3 linked regions of the Coturnix japonica genome follow. The protein of the gene in region 1 purifies or fractionates together with the protein of each later gene. This does not show direct contact. Links are inferred from orthologs where the notes say so. Each region holds a gene or a part of one and is shown in the gene's direction. Other genes may lie near its edges.

What was found.
Region 2: the proteins of PTPRO (region 1) and DNAJB11 purify together in Homo sapiens (affinity purification with mass spectrometry; 3 studies listed by BioGRID and IntAct, with this or other methods). This does not show direct contact. The link is inferred for Coturnix japonica from reciprocal best matches to the Homo sapiens genes PTPRO and DNAJB11.
Region 3: the proteins of PTPRO (region 1) and SDF2L1 purify together in Homo sapiens (affinity purification with mass spectrometry; 3 studies listed by BioGRID and IntAct, with this or other methods). This does not show direct contact. The link is inferred for Coturnix japonica from reciprocal best matches to the Homo sapiens genes PTPRO and SDF2L1.

Annotation. Positions count from the first base shown.
Region 1 is NC_029516.1:57,544,213-57,549,443, forward strand, and holds part of PTPRO (receptor-type tyrosine-protein phosphatase O), read left to right. Parts: intron 1-3,564; coding exon 3,565-3,723; intron 3,724-5,231.
Region 2 is NC_029524.1:3,281,242-3,287,251, forward strand, and holds the start of DNAJB11 (dnaJ homolog subfamily B member 11), read left to right. Parts: upstream 1-2,472; 5' UTR 2,473-2,548; coding exon 2,549-2,616; intron 2,617-2,736; coding exon 2,737-2,893; intron 2,894-6,010. Other genes in the region: TBCCD1 (TBCC domain-containing protein 1), read right to left, coding at 1-59, 1,650-1,799, 1,868-2,263. UniProt on the Homo sapiens protein: As a co-chaperone for HSPA5 it is required for proper folding, trafficking or degradation of proteins.
Region 3 is NC_029530.1:285,859-291,515, forward strand, and holds the start of SDF2L1 (stromal cell-derived factor 2-like protein 1), read left to right. Parts: upstream 1-1,804; 5' UTR 1,805-1,855; coding exon 1,856-2,018; intron 2,019-2,524; coding exon 2,525-2,721; intron 2,722-3,733; coding exon 3,734-4,012; 3' UTR 4,013-5,657.

The DNA of each region.
Region 1 (5,231 bases):
CTGTTCAGTACTAAGAAGCACCCTATTTTGCTGTGCCAGTGTTATTTTCTGGTTTGTGTGGTCTTCATATTTGTCATCTTATGTGGGCATCTAGAAACTGCAGTATAGAAATTGCATCATTGCTCAGATACCACTTGCACTTACATTCCACTTTTGTAAGCAGTTACACACGATATCCTCTATTACATATCATAAACTTGAACGTTATGTTCTTGAAGTATTAAACAGCAGCTATTAAATTTCAAAACTGGTTGCCTTTTAACAAGAGATAAAACTGTCCCTAAAGTTTACAGCAAAATGAAAACTTTGTACTGGCTATGGCTTACTCCCATTAGCGATGCAAATAGGTAAACAGTGTCATCCTGGTGATGATATTACCTAGTTCACAGCTTCTTCATGTGATTAAAGGCCATTACCTGTAAGATTTACATCACTCCACTACTGAGACTTCTCTCTTTGGAGAGTTGTGTTATTAAGATTAGCCATGATTAATCTAGGTTTGAGTGTGAGAAGCAAGACAGTTGATCTAATTCCCATCTCATCCAGCCACGTGTAATACTACACGATCTAATCTGCTACATTAACAAAACATCAGTTCCCTGTCTATAGAGGCAGGTCTGTGAATATTAAAAACAAATTTATTTGGCCTGGACTCTGGTACTTATTTTCAATGTCCTTTTTCCTCCCCTGAATTGCAAAAACCACCTAAAACATGGATGTATCTGGCACAGATTGAATGTGTTTATGGAGGATTTAGCCTCCAGAATTTGCCATGGCATTTGAGGGAGAGGCTAGAAGCATTTATTATGTTATCTGTTTTTATAATGCAAGGTATGTGCTAAATGCAAAATGTGGCAATATTCAGGAGAAATGCAGAAGTTAAATCTCCCATAAACAGTTATAACTGGAAAACAGTTGCTTCAGGAGCAGCAGAATGTGAGATTAGAATAAAGGAACTTCAGTCTTGGTCCTGCAAGCTTGTCTACATGAGTTTAATATAGTCTAGATGTCTAAAAATAAAGACACTGAGCACAAAATAAGAGCCTTAAACATGTTACTAAAGGGAAACTAAAATCCTATAGTTCCTTCCTTAATATGTCTTTCAACATCAATATCATTGATGCTTCTACTTTTTCCTATGAACGTATTAGATCATACCTTATTTAAGCTATTTCTTGAGAACCAATAAAACCTATGGAAAACTGAATCCTGAATACTCTATCTGAAACTATGAAAAAGACCAAACTGTTTATGTTCTGAATTATAAGTATAAACGTTGAAGAGTGACATTTTACATATTCCTTGAGCTTTAATAACCCCAGGAACTGTTAGTAAGTGAAAAACTTGAACATGATTTTTATCTGCTGAGTATCCTTTCAATTTCACAGTGTGCAAATAGCTTTTGATGTGAATATTTGGTGCTGAAGGAAGGAAGATAATGGAAGACTCTTTAAATTGCATTATATCAGTCAAACTACTCTGCTAGCATCAGCCATGAGCAAGGAGAAGTCAGTAAGCGGAAGATAACAACAAGAAAGAGAGTCTGTGGTGATTACCGTTTAATTCAATTATTGGCTAATTGTATCAAGACATCAGGAGGAAAAATCATTCAGATTAAAAATGAATGTAACTCCCATCTTTTATTTGATTTGTTGTAGGAAGAAATAAATTGGGTAATTCAATCACTAACTCAGGGAAGTTTCAGTAATTCTTTCAGAAATAAGGAGACCCAGATTGGAATGAGATAGCAGAAGCCTGGGACATGCCTGCTAACATGAAAGATGGCTGCTTGTAAGGGCTGTGCCATGTAGAGATTGCTGTTGACATTTGAACCACTATCATGTGCTTTGTGAAATGTGATATGAAGTATCGGGTCATGGGGATTGCCAGCTCAACTGTTTATTTCAGAATAAGTGATGGAAAGAGATTCAGCAGAAAGAAGAGGGTAGGCATTGTTTCCCATGACCGTCTTTGCTCCCGTTTATTTCTAAGCTATCACAAATTGTCAGCAAGATTTTCACAGATTCTGTCATTGCTGTGCCTCTTGGTATCAGTGAGCTCTGAAATTTCTATTTCTCAGTGTCTAACATACATATATAGTGATAGTTACCTGAAGATAACAAAACATATTTGCTGTGAGAAATAAATTAGAAGTCCCACAGTGTTGTATTCTGGTACTCTGACAAAGTTAACAGGGGCAACACAACTCCTCCCTAAGACCTGGGCTGAGATTTATTTTTGTGGTTGTGTTTTCTATACTTTGTTGCTTTTTATCGTCAATGGAAGCTTAGTACAATCATGAAAATACTGTGCTAGCAAATGGGATTTAATTTCTACTTGTGCAGCAGGCTTGCTTTTCCATCTTCGATTACCCTGTTCCGTCCACCTATTGTGAGACAATTCCCTTTTTGAAGCTGGTGCCGCTGTTTTCATCTGCCTTCTCTTCTGCCTGTCATGACTGTGTGCTCTTTGGAGAAAGTTGTATTCAAAAGAACTTTGTACTCAGATGTGTTCTGCAAGAGTGTAGTGAGACCATGCTAAAGAACACTGAATTTTTCAATCTGTTCCCTGCTGTGCACAAGATCTAAATCAACATGATAATACCTAAAAGGATGTGGACATAACTACTGATAGTTGTGTATTAACTACTTCTATTAAAATATGTTAATATGACTAATACTGAGTAAAATTAGAACCCTGTATTCAATAGCTGCTTAGCTCTCTTAACCAACGTGTAGTTGCTATCATTTCTTCTAGAGTGCATGTGAAAGTGCATTTGCTATTGTTCTTTCTATAGCTCCACCATGGTCAGAGCTGAAAGCAGTAACTGGCAGCTCTGTACTTACCTGCCTTCTGTGTGCAGGCTACCCCCATACCCTTGGGTAAACATGTACCTCAGCTTTTCATCTGTAACATAACAGCAATGGTGCTGCCGTATCCTTTAGAAGCATGGTGTGGATGAGTACTTTAAAGATGGTGGCCATCTCAGGTACATTAGGAATCAGGACTGTATAATTACTCATGAAATATATAAATGAATATTTACAGGAACAATACCATAATTCAGACAGTTTCCTCTGGTTGTCACACTGATGCATTTCTTAGCTCATCTTAGAAGTTCAGATTAGTGCCAAAATTATGATTAATTTCAAGTGTTTGTTGCTTTTGTCTCGGCACTTGATCAGTAAGTGCTGAAGAAGAAAATCTTGATGGGGTGATGACTGTGAGTGCTTAAGTAATTACTGTGATTTCAACCATGACTTTTATGCCTGCTCCTCTGCAAATAAGGACAGCTTCCTGTTAAAATGTTTTGAGGTTTTTTTCTTCTAAAAAAGCATTCAGTGCACGAACATGTTGTGTGGGGGGGAACATAACCTTGGCCTTGACATAATCCCATGTGGTTTTGCCCCAGACCTCTGTGAAGCCTCAGATGTCACCTAGGAAATTTGAGAGTTCCTGTGTCATTCCACATAAAACCATTCCTGCCTTTGATTTTGTTTTTATAGGTTTGCCTATTAATCTGCTTCTTTCTGCCTTTTTTTCCTTTATTTGTGTATCATTTAGAACCCCTTCCTGTGAGCAGTGTTTCTATCTATGATTACAAACCATCTCCAGAAACAGGAGTGCTATTTGAAATTCAATACCCAGAGAAGTACAATGTTTTTACCAGGGTAAATATAAGCTATTGGGAAGGAAAAGACTACAGAACAATGCTGTACAAAGGTAGGAAGAAACTATTCCACTAACTATTCCTGCTAACAAAGATATGTTTTAGCTTTCTAGTTACACTTGCTGAAATCAATGGGTAACATTCTGCCTCTGTAGTGGTTGAAAATATCAATTCCCTATTCCTCCTTTCTGGTCCTGATTTCTCTTTGTGAGTAGCTGATGGGGGAGCTTAGAGATGCCCTTTATCTGGGAAATAATTCAGTACAACTGATTCTTGGGAAAGACTTTGAAGCTGATATCTCTGTAACACTATGAAGTCACATAGTGCTGGTAGCACTGAGTGACACTCTATGCTGCGTAGTATTGTGTATTACTCTAACATTCTTTGTTGTTCCTGAGCTAATAAACCTGCTGCATTTTTCAATTTCATCTTTCTTAGAACAGTTCAGCCAAGGACAAGCAATCTAATAACCTAGCCAGTCAATCTAAAGAATTTCAGCAATCAGTCTAGCCATCTAAATAGACTAACAAGGACAAATTCTGCTTCTCTTTTTTATTTTTTTATTTTTGCTAAAATCTGAACTTCCCTTTGCTCTTCTGTCGTGCAGTAACTTTAAGCACAGCATTTATTTATTTATTTATTTTTATATGAAAGATGTAAAGGGTTGTCCTACAGAAGGCACCTAAGAGGTGATAGGCACTGCATGCTCTTCAGGTCCCAAACCCCAGCTGGTTTAATACAGCGTGGTGTCAATATCACCTCTGAGTCCAGTAGGTGATAGACTGAATTTCAGTGATAGAAGGAAGGCTTCCAGTGTAGCAGCCTGGTCACTGTAAGCTCTCTCTGGAGTCAGCAGAGGGAGATTCCCACCTCCAGAAGGAGCATGGAAAACTTTGGTGTCACTGATTCAGTGCATAGCAGAATTAGGGTAACATCTGTAAGACTGAAATGCCAGATATTGGGAATGGAGATTCTGGATCATAGTCCTAAATACAAGGGACCCTTTTACAGGGAACAAAGGTGATACAAGCAGCAATTTTTCACTTTCACAGCTCATATACAGAGGCTGTAATACTACTGCTGCAGCTGCTGATAAATAAAAAAGTCACCTTGAATTAAAAAAGTCCCTAATGAGCAAGCATACTCTTTCCCACAGCTAAATTGCCTTAAGCAATATCTCTTCAGCCCACACACATACTGATGTTGGATGTGAGCTCAGTTCTCAGACTGCAGCTGGTGCCCAGCTGCTCTGTGGATGGCCCTTTGAACATCTCCTCTTTCCTCTGAACACTGTACCTCAGTCAGCACCAGACCAAAGTGGGTTTTGCGTGCAATTGTTAAAGGTCTGCAGGAATTGTCACGTGCTCTTTGAGATGCTCAGTGTCACATGGAGCAGGTTGCCTGGTTGAGTTGCTTTTCCTGTGGAATGTAGTTCTTATTTCTCTTGCTGGGGCAGCAATGTGGTTTTCACATCCAGGGAAAATGTTGGTAAACTGAATTATCAGTATTTCATGTCTTAGACTAGGCTGAGCAATGTTAAAACATCTGAAACGTTGCTGTT
Region 2 (6,010 bases), on another chromosome or scaffold:
TCCAGCATGTCTGGAAGGTGTGTGAGCACGAAGGCAAGGTGGTCCTGGTCATTCCAGTTCTTAGGGGCAGAAAAATAAGAACAAGGTGAATTATCATACAGCTGACAAGCTCCACCAACGCTGTACAACACATCTTTGCTTATACTTGTAAAAGAAAGAAAACAAGTCAGACTTGGTCCTGCTGCTCTCTTTCCACACACAGAAAGGAAGCTGGATTCAGCATCAAGAGCAAGAAGAAAAAGAAATGTGGTGTCATTCTAAGTCCAAGTATCAAGTATTTCATTTTAGAAAGCAAAAGCAGATTCTCCTGCAATCCTTCCCACACAGATTCAGGCAGCTGCTGCTAGTAGTGAAGGGAGGAAACAAATCAGTAACTGACAGCCAAGGTCTTGCTATGCATCTGTTGGAAACATCACTGCATCTGCTCCAGACCTTCAGCTATGATTGAGTGCTTCTGATGTGGAGCCAGAGATAATAATAATAAAAAGCAGAGGGTCATTCCTTCACTAGCAAGTGGACCAATAAACCAACCAGCCTCTGAAAGAAGCGTTAGTTCAAATTTTAAAGGGAAAGGAAGTGCAGAGGCTACAGCTTCTTAAAAAGAGAACCACAAAGACTATGAGAGATGCTTCACAAGTAACCAATCCCACTCCACCATGTCCACTGCCCACGTCCCTCAGTGCCACAGCCCCACAGGTCTGAACACCTTCAGGGATGGTGACTGCCCCACCTCCCTGTGCAGCATCTCACTGCTCTTTCCAAGAAGAAATATCCAAACTTAACCTTCCCTAGTGAATCTTGAGGGCATCACCTCTCATCCTATCACCATTACCTCTGAGAATAAACCTAAAGTTGCTATGCTCTCCTTTCCGTGAGCTGTAGAGAGCAATGAGGCCTTCCCCTCAGCCTCCTTCTCCAGGTTATATATGGGTGTGTCTTACGTGGATATAACTACTGACGTTTTAGCAACAGTTACATGGAATACATCAAATTTATCAGCTATAAATAAACCGGCCCCATCCCTACCCCTCCTGGTGTCCCCAGCTCCGACCTCGTCCCCATCCCCGCTGCCAGCTCCATCCCCACCGCTCTCCCCATCCCGGTCCCCACCACCACTTCCATCCCCATTCCCGTCCCTATCCCTTCTGCTGTCACCACCCTCACCACTATTTCCATTTCCACTATTTTCCTTGACTTAGGGAACTGGGTCTGTTTAGCCTTCAAAAAAGAAGGCTGAGAGGGGACTTGATCCAGGTTTATTAATACCTGAGATGTGGGAGCCATAGTGGTGAGTCTGGTCTCTTTTCATTAGTGTGTGGGGACAGGATTAGGGGTAATGGGATGAAAGTACAGCATAGGAAGTTCTGCACAAATGTGTGGAAGAACTTCTTTACAGTGAGGGTGACGGAGCACTGGAACAGGCTGCCCAGGGAGGTGGTGGAGTCTCCTTCTCTGGAGATATTCAAGACCCGCCTGGACGCCTTCCTGTGTGACATGGTGTAGGGAGCCTGCTTTGACAGGGGGTTGGACTCGATGATCTCTAGAGGTCCCTTCCAACCCCTACAGTTCTGTGATTCTATAAGGGGTGGCAGCTCGCTCTGCTCAGGGAGGCCCAGTAGAGCAGCCTCCCCTCCCCACAGCCCCATTACCTTGCTCTGCCCCGCGGCCCTGCCCGGCAGCCCGGCAGCTCTAGCCCTGGGGCTGGGCCACTCCTCGCCGATGAGGGACGTCCTCAGGGAGGCTTTGTTCAGCTGCTGCAGGTAGAGGAAGAGCAGGAAGCGCAGCGTGTCCACGGCGAGCTGCCGAGAGGGGAGATGCCGTTAGGTGCCGCCGGCCGCCCCGCTCCCTCCCCATCCCCGGTCCCTGCCTTGCCGCGCTCCCGCTCCAGCTCCTCGCCGTTCCCACACGCCGCCTCGGCCTCGGCTCGCTGCAGCCTGCGGGGCGGATCGGGAGGAGGGAGGAGGCCGTGGAATCGCTCGAAGTACAGCCAGGCCAGGTCGCGGCCCAGCTGCAGTTTATCACAGGCGATGTACCGCCAACGCGGCCAGCTCAGCCGCGGGTAACAGCCCTCGGCCGCCCTCGCCCGCGTGTACGCCGCCATTTTGCGCAGGTAGTGTGGGCCCAAGCGGGCGGGGGGCGGCACGGGCAGCGCGCCCAGCAGCAGCGGCTCCGTCCGCGGCCATAGCGACACGGCGGCCGCCATGACAGCACCGCCAACCAACCAGACGACGCTTCCCGCCTCCCCTCGGGAGCCGCTCGCCATTGGCTACCGGAGCCGGCGCGGAGGCGGGAAGAAGCGACACGCCTTGCGATTGGTCGGCGTCTTCTCCTTCCGGCTCTCTGCGATGCGATTGGGCCGCGGCCGCGAGGCGGTGGTGAAGTGTGCGCAAGCGATTGGTTGTCAGCTCGATCCGCGCGGGGCCGGGCCGCTCCCCAATGGCTGGCGGCTATGGTTGGGTCGCGCTCTCATTGGCTGGCGGCTGCGGCCGGGCGCCGGCTTCGTGTGTGAGGGACGGGCTGCGGGCGGCGGGCTCCTGTCGGCCCGGCCATGGCCCCCGGCTGGCTCGGCCGAGTGTGTCTGCTCCTGCTCTGCCTCTGCGGGGAGGCCGCCGCCGGGTGAGTGCTCCCGGGGGGCTGTTCTTCCCTTATCCCCTCCCTCCTTCCTATAGGCCTGCGGCTCCACAGCGCACGGCCCGGCCCAGCTGACGGGGCCTTCTCTCTTGTCTCGCCCCTCAGGAGGGATTTCTATAAGATCCTGGGGGTGTCCCGAGGCGCCTCCGTGAAGGACATCAAGAAGGCGTACCGCAAACTGGCGCTGCAGCTGCACCCCGACAGGAACCCCGACGACCCGCGGGCACAGGAGAAGTTCCAGGACCTGGGGGCTGCCTATGAGGTGGGGATGGGCTGTGGGCGGGGAAGGGGGCTCAGGAGGGAACCGAGTGGTACAACGGGCTGGACCAGGCGTTGAGGCACCGTCCTGTGGCTGTCAGGGCAATGTGCAGGTCCAGAACGGCTGTCACAGAATCACAGAATGAGCCGGGTTGGAAGGGACCTCAAGGATCATGTAGTTCCAACCCCCCTGCCTGGCAGGGCCACCAAACATACACCTTTACTAGATCAGGTTGCCCAGGGCCCCGTCCAACCTGGTCTTGAACACCTCCAAGGACGGGGCATCCACAACCTCCCTGGGCAGCCTGTTCCAGGGCCTAACCACTCTCCTAGTGAAGAACTTCCCCCTAACATCCAACCTAAATCTTCCCTCTTTTAACTTAAAACCATTTCCCCGTGTCCTGCTATTGTCAGCCCTTTCCAAGAGTTTACTCCCCTCCTGGGAGTAAGTTCCCTTCAGGTACTGAAAGGCTGCAATGAGGTCAAGACTCAGGGACGAATTCCCACATAAATGATTCCCTATGGGGCGCTGCTGTCATCCCTTCTCACCTGTTAAACGCTGTGTTGAATTTCAGGTGTGATGCCTGATAACAAAGCAGAGAGGCTGCCAGGCTGACCTGGGAAGTCCGCTTGTTTGAGGGCAATAAAGGGCAGCAGTTCACCTTGCTGGGGGAGTGTGCGGAGCTCGAGCTGTTTGATCTTATTAATAGTTGTTTGAGTACAAAAAGGGAATGCATCAGCTGTGAGTGTTGGCACAGGAACTCATTTGTTTGTATGTGTAGAGCGTGACTGTAAGTTTTGGCTGGTAGGAAGTGAAAGGCTGTTGGTCGCCTTCTAGTAAACATGTTGAAGGGTGAAAAGTCATTGCTGAAGCCCCGTATGCTTAATGAATTCTGTTATATCTATCCTAAGGCATAGCATTTAAGTAATAATTCATATTTCTAGCATCACACACTGCATAAATCACACATAAACTGTTTTATTACCCAACATTTGTAAGTCAAAGTCTGCTTTTCCCTCTGCTGTGGATGGTGGGCTGTGTTTCCTTCATGTCCTCTGTCCTTTAGCTTCCCATCTCAGAATCATAGAGGTTAAAAGGGACCTTGGGTCCCATCTAGTTAACAGACCTGCTAGAGTAGGTTCCCTATAGTAGATTGCACAAGAAAGCATCCAGGTGGGTTCTGAACGCCTCTAGAGAAGGAAGGAGACTGCACAACCAATGTGAGCAGCTTGTTCCAGTGCTCTGTCACCCTCAACAGCATAGAGATTGATTATTCCTTGTGATTGTATGGAGCTTTGTGTTTCAGTTTTTGCCCATTGCCCCTTGTCCTGTCACTGCACACCACTGATAAGAACCTGGCCCCTTCTGCTGGTTTCTTCCTGCTTCTCCTCATAGAACAGAGGAAAGCTCCTGAGGAAGAGCTGTCAGTTTAGGTAGGAGGTTTGTGCTAGCTTTGAGGAGCCAGGCCATAGGACAATCTGTATCCCATTGTTATCTTTAGGAGTAAAAGGGATTATCTTCCTACCTGGGCTGATGCTGTAGCTGAACCTGTGGCCATAGGTTCCTGCTGCTGTCCCTGCTGCTGCTTCCTTCTTCTGGCATGTAAATATAAAATGACTGAGGAAGTGAGGTGAGAAGCAGCTTGAATGTTTTCAGAAGAAAGACATTAACTTTTTTGTGTGCGTCATACAGTTCCTTTTAGTTCAGACTTCTATTCTTAAATAAGTTAACTTAGTCTCACAACAAAGTTGGTGAGTGTAAATAATTCTTTGGTGGGAGATGCGGAATTTACCGTCTTTGATTTGAAGGCTGATTCATGCTTCAAAGCTGTGGGCTTGGTGTAGTTTATGTGAGCTGGGGCCTTGTTGTACTTGACAGCGCTTAATGCACAGGGAGCGTTTATGTGTTCTCGGGGTTCCAGTTTATGTCTTACCACAGAAGCAGTTGAAAGGGTCTTTCCTACAGCAAAATATTAGGGAAGAAGCAGCTGTAAAATCATAAAACAGTATAGGACGTAGTGGCAGAGGCAGCAAAAATTGAGTGGTGACAATTTACCTTCCTTTCCCTTGCCAAGGTGCTACTAAAATACAGAGCCTGATTTCTTCAGCATAAAACCTGGAGTTCTTTTGCTAAGAGGCTTCTTCACGTAGCACCTGTTAGTGTCAGGGTGGTTTGGGGGCTGGAGTTCATCTTGGTTTTGGTTTTCAGCTTATCTGCTGAATTGCATTGCTTTTGAGGCAACCTAACATGGGCAAGAACTCTATACAGTATTTGGAGTGCTGTGTTCTTGAACCTCCAGAAGCCTGCTAAGGAAGCAAAGTGAATGGAAAAGCAAATATTTTGTATTCTTTATTCCTTTCTTTCTTGTAACATTGTTAGTAGTCTATTAATGGACTGTGGAACTTAACCCAGTTTTCTCAGGTGGGTGTTGTGTTGCATATCTTAGGCGGCACAGGGAGAGCTGAGCTCTTAACCTTTAGTCCTGGAAAGGTGAAGCCAGTACTTCAAGTCACTGTTTTGTTTTTCTTCTAACCTCTCTTGCTGCTGGCATTTATCATTACCTACAATTGGAGGCTGCCTTTCATCATTAAACCAGCTTTTCTCCAGCTGTTTCCATTCCTCTCTGAAATCTAACCTGGCAACTTCAGCCTTCCAAAAAATAGCCAGTGGGCCAGGAAAGGGAAGGAAGGCAAAATCTGGCTGGAAATCTGTGGAGTGGAGAATAAAAGCAAAGATAATACCTAGGAATTAAAACTGAAGCTTTGTGACCTTGAGTGCTGTCTATTGGGATGCACTGTTCTACCTCAGGACTGAGATTGCTCCTGAATTTTGCTGCCCATAGGAACTGAGTCAGTGTTGAAGTTGGTGTGGAGTTATTGTACTCAGCAGGTTCAGCTTGGTAGGCAAACTTGCTGTCATTGCTAATAATTATGAACTATGTGTCAGATAAATGAATTCCACGTGCTTAAAGAACTGAGAAACCAGGGCTCTATTACATGTTACGTGATTTTCTTCTTTTCACAGAGGAGCAGTTCCTGCTTTGTAAGACATGATTTTGAGTTATTATCCCCTTCTGAGTCTCTCTCAACTCATTCAGAGTAAACTCAATATATTTTTAAT
Region 3 (5,657 bases), on another chromosome or scaffold:
GCGCTGCTGAATTATTGTGTGTGTGTAAAGCAGCAGCACGATGAGATTCCAATCAAATATGCTGATATTTCCATTCCCAACACGCACCATTAGATTATCTCAGTGGCAGGTTTACCTGCAGCTTACAGTATTCCACTGGAAACAATGGTGGCCCTGTAGCCATGAGGTGGCTGTTAATTGCCATTGCTATTTGGCACTGATGGGGTTCTCTGCTGGACACTTCTAACCCAATGACGTTTCTAAAGTACAACCGAAAGCATTGCAGGGAGCACCGTGTACGTGGCACTAACTGCACTGAGGCTGAGCGACCTCCCAGGAGGACAGACAGGTGCCAGCTAAAGCCGCATACCATTGATTTTCCACGGCTAAAATGGCAACTTGGACATCTGTCTGTGCCGTGTGTGTAACAACGACTGCAAATGTGAGCTCCTGTCTTAGCAAGGTTTCTTAGAATGACAGAGATGTAGCATTTGGCAATCAAGGTAAGATGTTTTATTTAGTGTGTGTGAAGAAACACACTGCTGCAACTAGGAAGCTTTAATCCTCAGATAAACACAGCGGGCTTGTGTGTGTGCACACAAACGTGAATGTGTGACTGTGTTTGGGACACAGGCTTCTTCTAAGGCCGGACATTAAGATACATGAAACAGGCCAGCATGAAAAAAACCCGACCATTCAGTGAGTGGGGTCACCTCAGGACTGGTGGAAGAGATAAAGATTGCTGCTCATCTGAGCATCAAATGATGTTTCCACCAGCCAGCAGCACTAATGTGTTTTCTAAATCATCCCGTGATGATATAATTGTGATATTGAAGTTCTGTGCTGTTGCCAATGCAGAATACAATGCCTTATCCCAAGGCAGGTCTCTCCTACATGCTATGGCACTGCTAAGGGAAGCTTTTCCCCTGTTAAATGACACTGATCTGGGGAGCGTTACACCAGACTGTTCTGAGATACGGGTCAATTCAGTGATGAGTTTCAGAGGCAAAAGCCAATGGACTTTGTAGGAGTTCCTGTGTCCGTTGTCCATAGCTGTTCCCTATTGAAAAAGGCGGCTGTACTGTTATTATTTGCAGGGGAGGAAATCCTTCACTCTGCAGTACAATGCAATGAAGTACAATGCTTTAATCCAGTTTCCTTTTGTACATAACAGGTTATAATAATCTCTTTACCTCGTAGTAAGTTTACAAAAGGGACTGAATGGCAGCAGATGAACTTTCAGGTGCAAAAGCACAGCCACAACCACCACAGCCAGACGAACAGCACTCAGCGTTAGCGGCCTGTGCCGTACTGCTGCCCCAGCACCAGCAGCTCTCACATACAGCTGTGCTACCACACAAGTTGTCTGTGTTTCCTTGCAAGGCCTGTAACCCGGTAATATTTCCCTTACAGTCCCGACTACGCGCTAGATGAGAACGCTGCTGTAACCAACCTGTGCTGTGACACCCCGCTGTCAGGAAGGGGCAGCTCGATGGATCGCAACGCTCCGCGCTGCCCACAGCCGCACTGAGGGCTGGGAGCTGGGGGGACACACACGGCCCGCAAAGGCCGCCCCGCAGCACGGCACGGTACGGCACGGCGCCGTGAGGTAACTGCGCGCCATCGCGTCCCGCCCTGAGAGGCGCCACGCCGCTCGCTCTGATTGGTCGCTCCTTTCCTCGGGCCCAATGAGCTCCTCCTGCCAAGCAGCGAATTCCGTCGGCCGTGGTCCAATGCGAGAAGGAGACCGTGAGGAGGGAGGGCTGCAATTGGTTGACTGCGGTGCTGGCGGGGCGCGATTGGCTGAGCTCGCTGAGGGGCTGCGGAAGCGCGCTGCGCTGCGCTGTGTGGCGGCGGTGCCGGCCGTGGCGGCGCGATGTGGGGCGGCCGCCGCCTGCTGCCGCTGCTCACTGTGTGTGCGCTGTGTGCGCTGTGTGCCGGCACGGAGCCGGGCGCTGTGACCTGCGGGTCGGTGCTGAAGCTGCTCAACACCCGGCACAGCGTTCGGCTGCATTCCCACGAGGTCAAGTACGGCTCCGGTGAGCACGAGCGGGCCGGGAGCTGCCAAGGGGCGGGAGGAGCCCTGAGGAGGAGAGGAAATGGCGGGAGAGGGGCAGCGGGAAACGGGCGGGAAATGGGCGGGAAATGGAGGCTGCGGGGGGTCGGGGAATGAGCCGCACGTTGCTCCGGGCTGTTACCGGGACAGCGATGGGGCTGAGGGGTGGGATGGGGTGGGGTGAGATGGGATGGGAGACATGGCGGGGGGGCGGCAGGGCCGTACGGCTGGATCCGCATCTCCTGCCTCTGTGGTGCTTTGCGCTCCCTGAGGTGAGCCCTGTGCTGAGACAGCGGCCTCGGTTACGTTCTTCAGTGTGGAGGGTACGGTACCTGCATTCCCATTGGAGTCAATAAAAGGACTGAGAATGAAGTGTGTTCGTAGTGTTGTCACGCCTTCGAGTTTAAAGCAGCTTCCTTCCGTTCTTCCAGGACTTTCTGAGCTCCAGAAGCGGGTTAGGTCTCCTGCCATTTAATTCTGTTCCAACAGGAAGTGGGCAGCAGTCAGTGACAGGAGTTGAAGCTTCAGATGATGCCAACAGTTACTGGCGGATTCGTGGGAAGACGGATGGCAGCTGCCAGCGTGGAACCCCAGTGAGATGCGGGCAGGCAATACGGCTTACTCATGTAAACACAGGAAAAAACTTACACACTCATCACTTCCCATCACCGCTCTCCAATAACCAGGTAAGTGGCTCTAAATCATAAGTTTTTGTACAAATAGTGCGTGATTGAAATTGACAATACCTCTTTCCAGATTTCTTGGTTTTGAAGAATCAGTCTTAGATACCAGATGCCAGAAATAAGGCATCTCTGGATATGCAGAGTGGTTTCCTAGAGACTGATTGGTCTGTGACTTATTATCTTGTTGAAATGAGGCGTGGTTCTGAGTATAAACTTTTATTTCATATTCCTAACAAACAAGTTTGATTTTCAATCGGTGTGTTGTCACTGACACTGCACGGACTGCACAAGCTTGAATTAACATGACCCTATATTATTAGCTTGATAGGTACAAACTATTGCAGTTCTGTTTTCAAGTGGTTAATCACTTCTAGCCATCTGATTTTTAAGTCTGTGCTGAGTCTTAAACAGTTGGAGCTGAGCCTACCGGGTTTATGAAAATACTTGGAGTTATGTGGGGGCACATAATAAAATCTGATCTCTAACTTTTGTTTTAGCAGGAATTTATTTGCCTTTGTGGTTGGCCGTCTTTATTTTTTAAAGGGCCATTCAGTCATCTGTTCAGCAGTGCAAACCGAAATAGTTGTTAACTTGTAATCTTAATATAATAAAATAAAAGGAATACAATTAATGAGTTAAAATGTTGGGACCTTGTGATTAAAAGCTGCAGTGATAACTGTGAAGCATTGTGCTACAAAATTAGATACTTAGTTACAAATTGATGTCACCATTAGTGAAATTGTTTTACAGAAGGATTGCTCTGATCTCTGTGCTCAAGTTGTCTTTAATTCCTAATGTCTGTTGTGGTTTGTTGGCACTGTGCTCAGGTTATGTGGTGGAGTTTGTAGTCGCAGAGTTACTGCTTCTGGATTGAATTGCTGCTGACAGCAGGGCCGTGTTTCTTTCCTCTGCATCCTTGCCTTTAAATTCTGCTGGCTTTGTGGCTGTTGTTTTTGTGTGTGCATTGGTTGTGTTTGCTTATATTTTCACTTCAGGAGATTTGTGTTTCTAACAGGAAGTAAGTGCCTTTGGTGATGATGGTGAAGGAGATGACCTCGATATATGGATTGTGCAATGCAGTGGGACACACTGGGAGCGGGAGGATGCAGTGCGCTTCAAGCACGTAGGAACTGAGGTGTTCCTTTCAATCACTGGGGAGCAATATGGCCATCCCATTAGAGGCCAACGGGAAGTTCATGGCATGCCCACCGCTAATCACCACAACTATTGGAAAGCAATGGAAGGAGTCTTCATCAAACCCAGTATGGACCTTGCAAAACATGATGAGCTCTGAATTGCCAGAGGATCCAATAAGGTTCATCCTACTCCCATGGTCAGAGATGCTAATACTCGGTCTCTTAAAAAGTCCCACCTTGCCTAAGTGATAGACTTTCTGTGTTACTGAAGGGCATTAGTTCATTCTAGGAATGCTGCACTTCTGTGGGAATGACATCTGCCAGGCTAAGACATTTTACGTTTATTTAAAACATCCTATCTAAATCTTCAATCTTATTTGGTGAAACTAGATCATACGTGTTAGTTCTCTCTGTCATTTGTTTTGTCGTTACTTCTCCAATTCAAAAGAAATTGAAAAAACAAAGTAGTACATCTCTGTAGTCCCAGGTACCGCAAAACTTTGTATTTTGTAATTTTTTTTCAGTTATAATTAAATATTTGGAAACTTATTTCTAGCTAGTGAGAGAATGCTATTAATGAAGAGCTGGAGTAAGTCTAGAAAGGGAAAATAGTTCTTGCTGTCTCTTAAGTGAGTCAAATTCTGCTACTTCCAGAAAAATATTTCAGTCCATCTGAAAATTGCTTCCAATGTGTTTCATGAGTTTTGTTGTGTATTTATGGAAAAGTTGAAAATGCTGTGTATGTTGAAGAGGACAAGTTTTTATTTCTTACCTTTCTCTGAAGAAATTTGTGGGTTTTTTTCTGCTGATTGATTGTGATACTGCTAATTCTCAGACGGTAAGACTTGTGCTCTAGGAACTGGTGCAGAAGGCTCCTACTTGTTTAATTAATGTTAGAATTTTATAAAATTCCATGTGATGTGAATAAATTTGCTTTATGTTGTTCTTGCATGTCATTGCAAGCTCAGTATGAGAATCCAGGTGTATAAGCAGTGGGACTTACAGCCGTGTGGGGCTCTGCTGTGCGAATCCAGGAGAGAGTAAATCTTAGAAAATGGTTTGGTCCTGGACTTTGAACAGAGGGGTAATCTGTAGAGCAAGGAATCTTCATTGCATGAGGCATTAATTTCTGTGTTCTGTGGAAAGAATGGAAAAAAAATCTAACTCTTGAACACTTTTATTCCAGTGTATTACAAGAAATACTGACTGAAGCACAAATTACCAGACATTTTCTAATTGCTTTAAAGAGAAAAGCTCAGTAAGTGAGTGTGAAAAGTCAGCAAATTCAGGTGTTGGTTTTTTCCATGTATAACTAGTTTACTGACTATGGTCCCAATTAGTCAGTTAATGAAGGAGGAACGTTATTTGCTGCTTTTACGTCTCCAGTTACATGCTGTGGAGAGTGTTGATGCAGTGTAATAGGTAGTTTCATTTACATTTTATACATGTACCTATACACATGCTTCATATGCTGATCCCTCACACACTTGTGCTGCACAGAATAGCTTCAGTTTTAATTCAGGGTTTGATTCTAGTGAAGATCCTTCGTATTCTGCAGAAGAAGCAGCCTCTGTTGTTCTGTGATATTCTTCGAAGAAGGTAAGAGTGTTTTTCTGTTAATCTTACGGTATTGAAGGATAAGAGGCATTTTGGAGATGAAACGAGCTGGTATTGCTTTGTGTTACAAGCAAACCTTTCTGTAAGGTTCACTGGTATTCCCGACTAATTGTTATTGAAGTAATAAAGGATAATTACTAAAAAAATAATATTAATAAATAAAAAGTAAAAATTGTTTAAACAAGC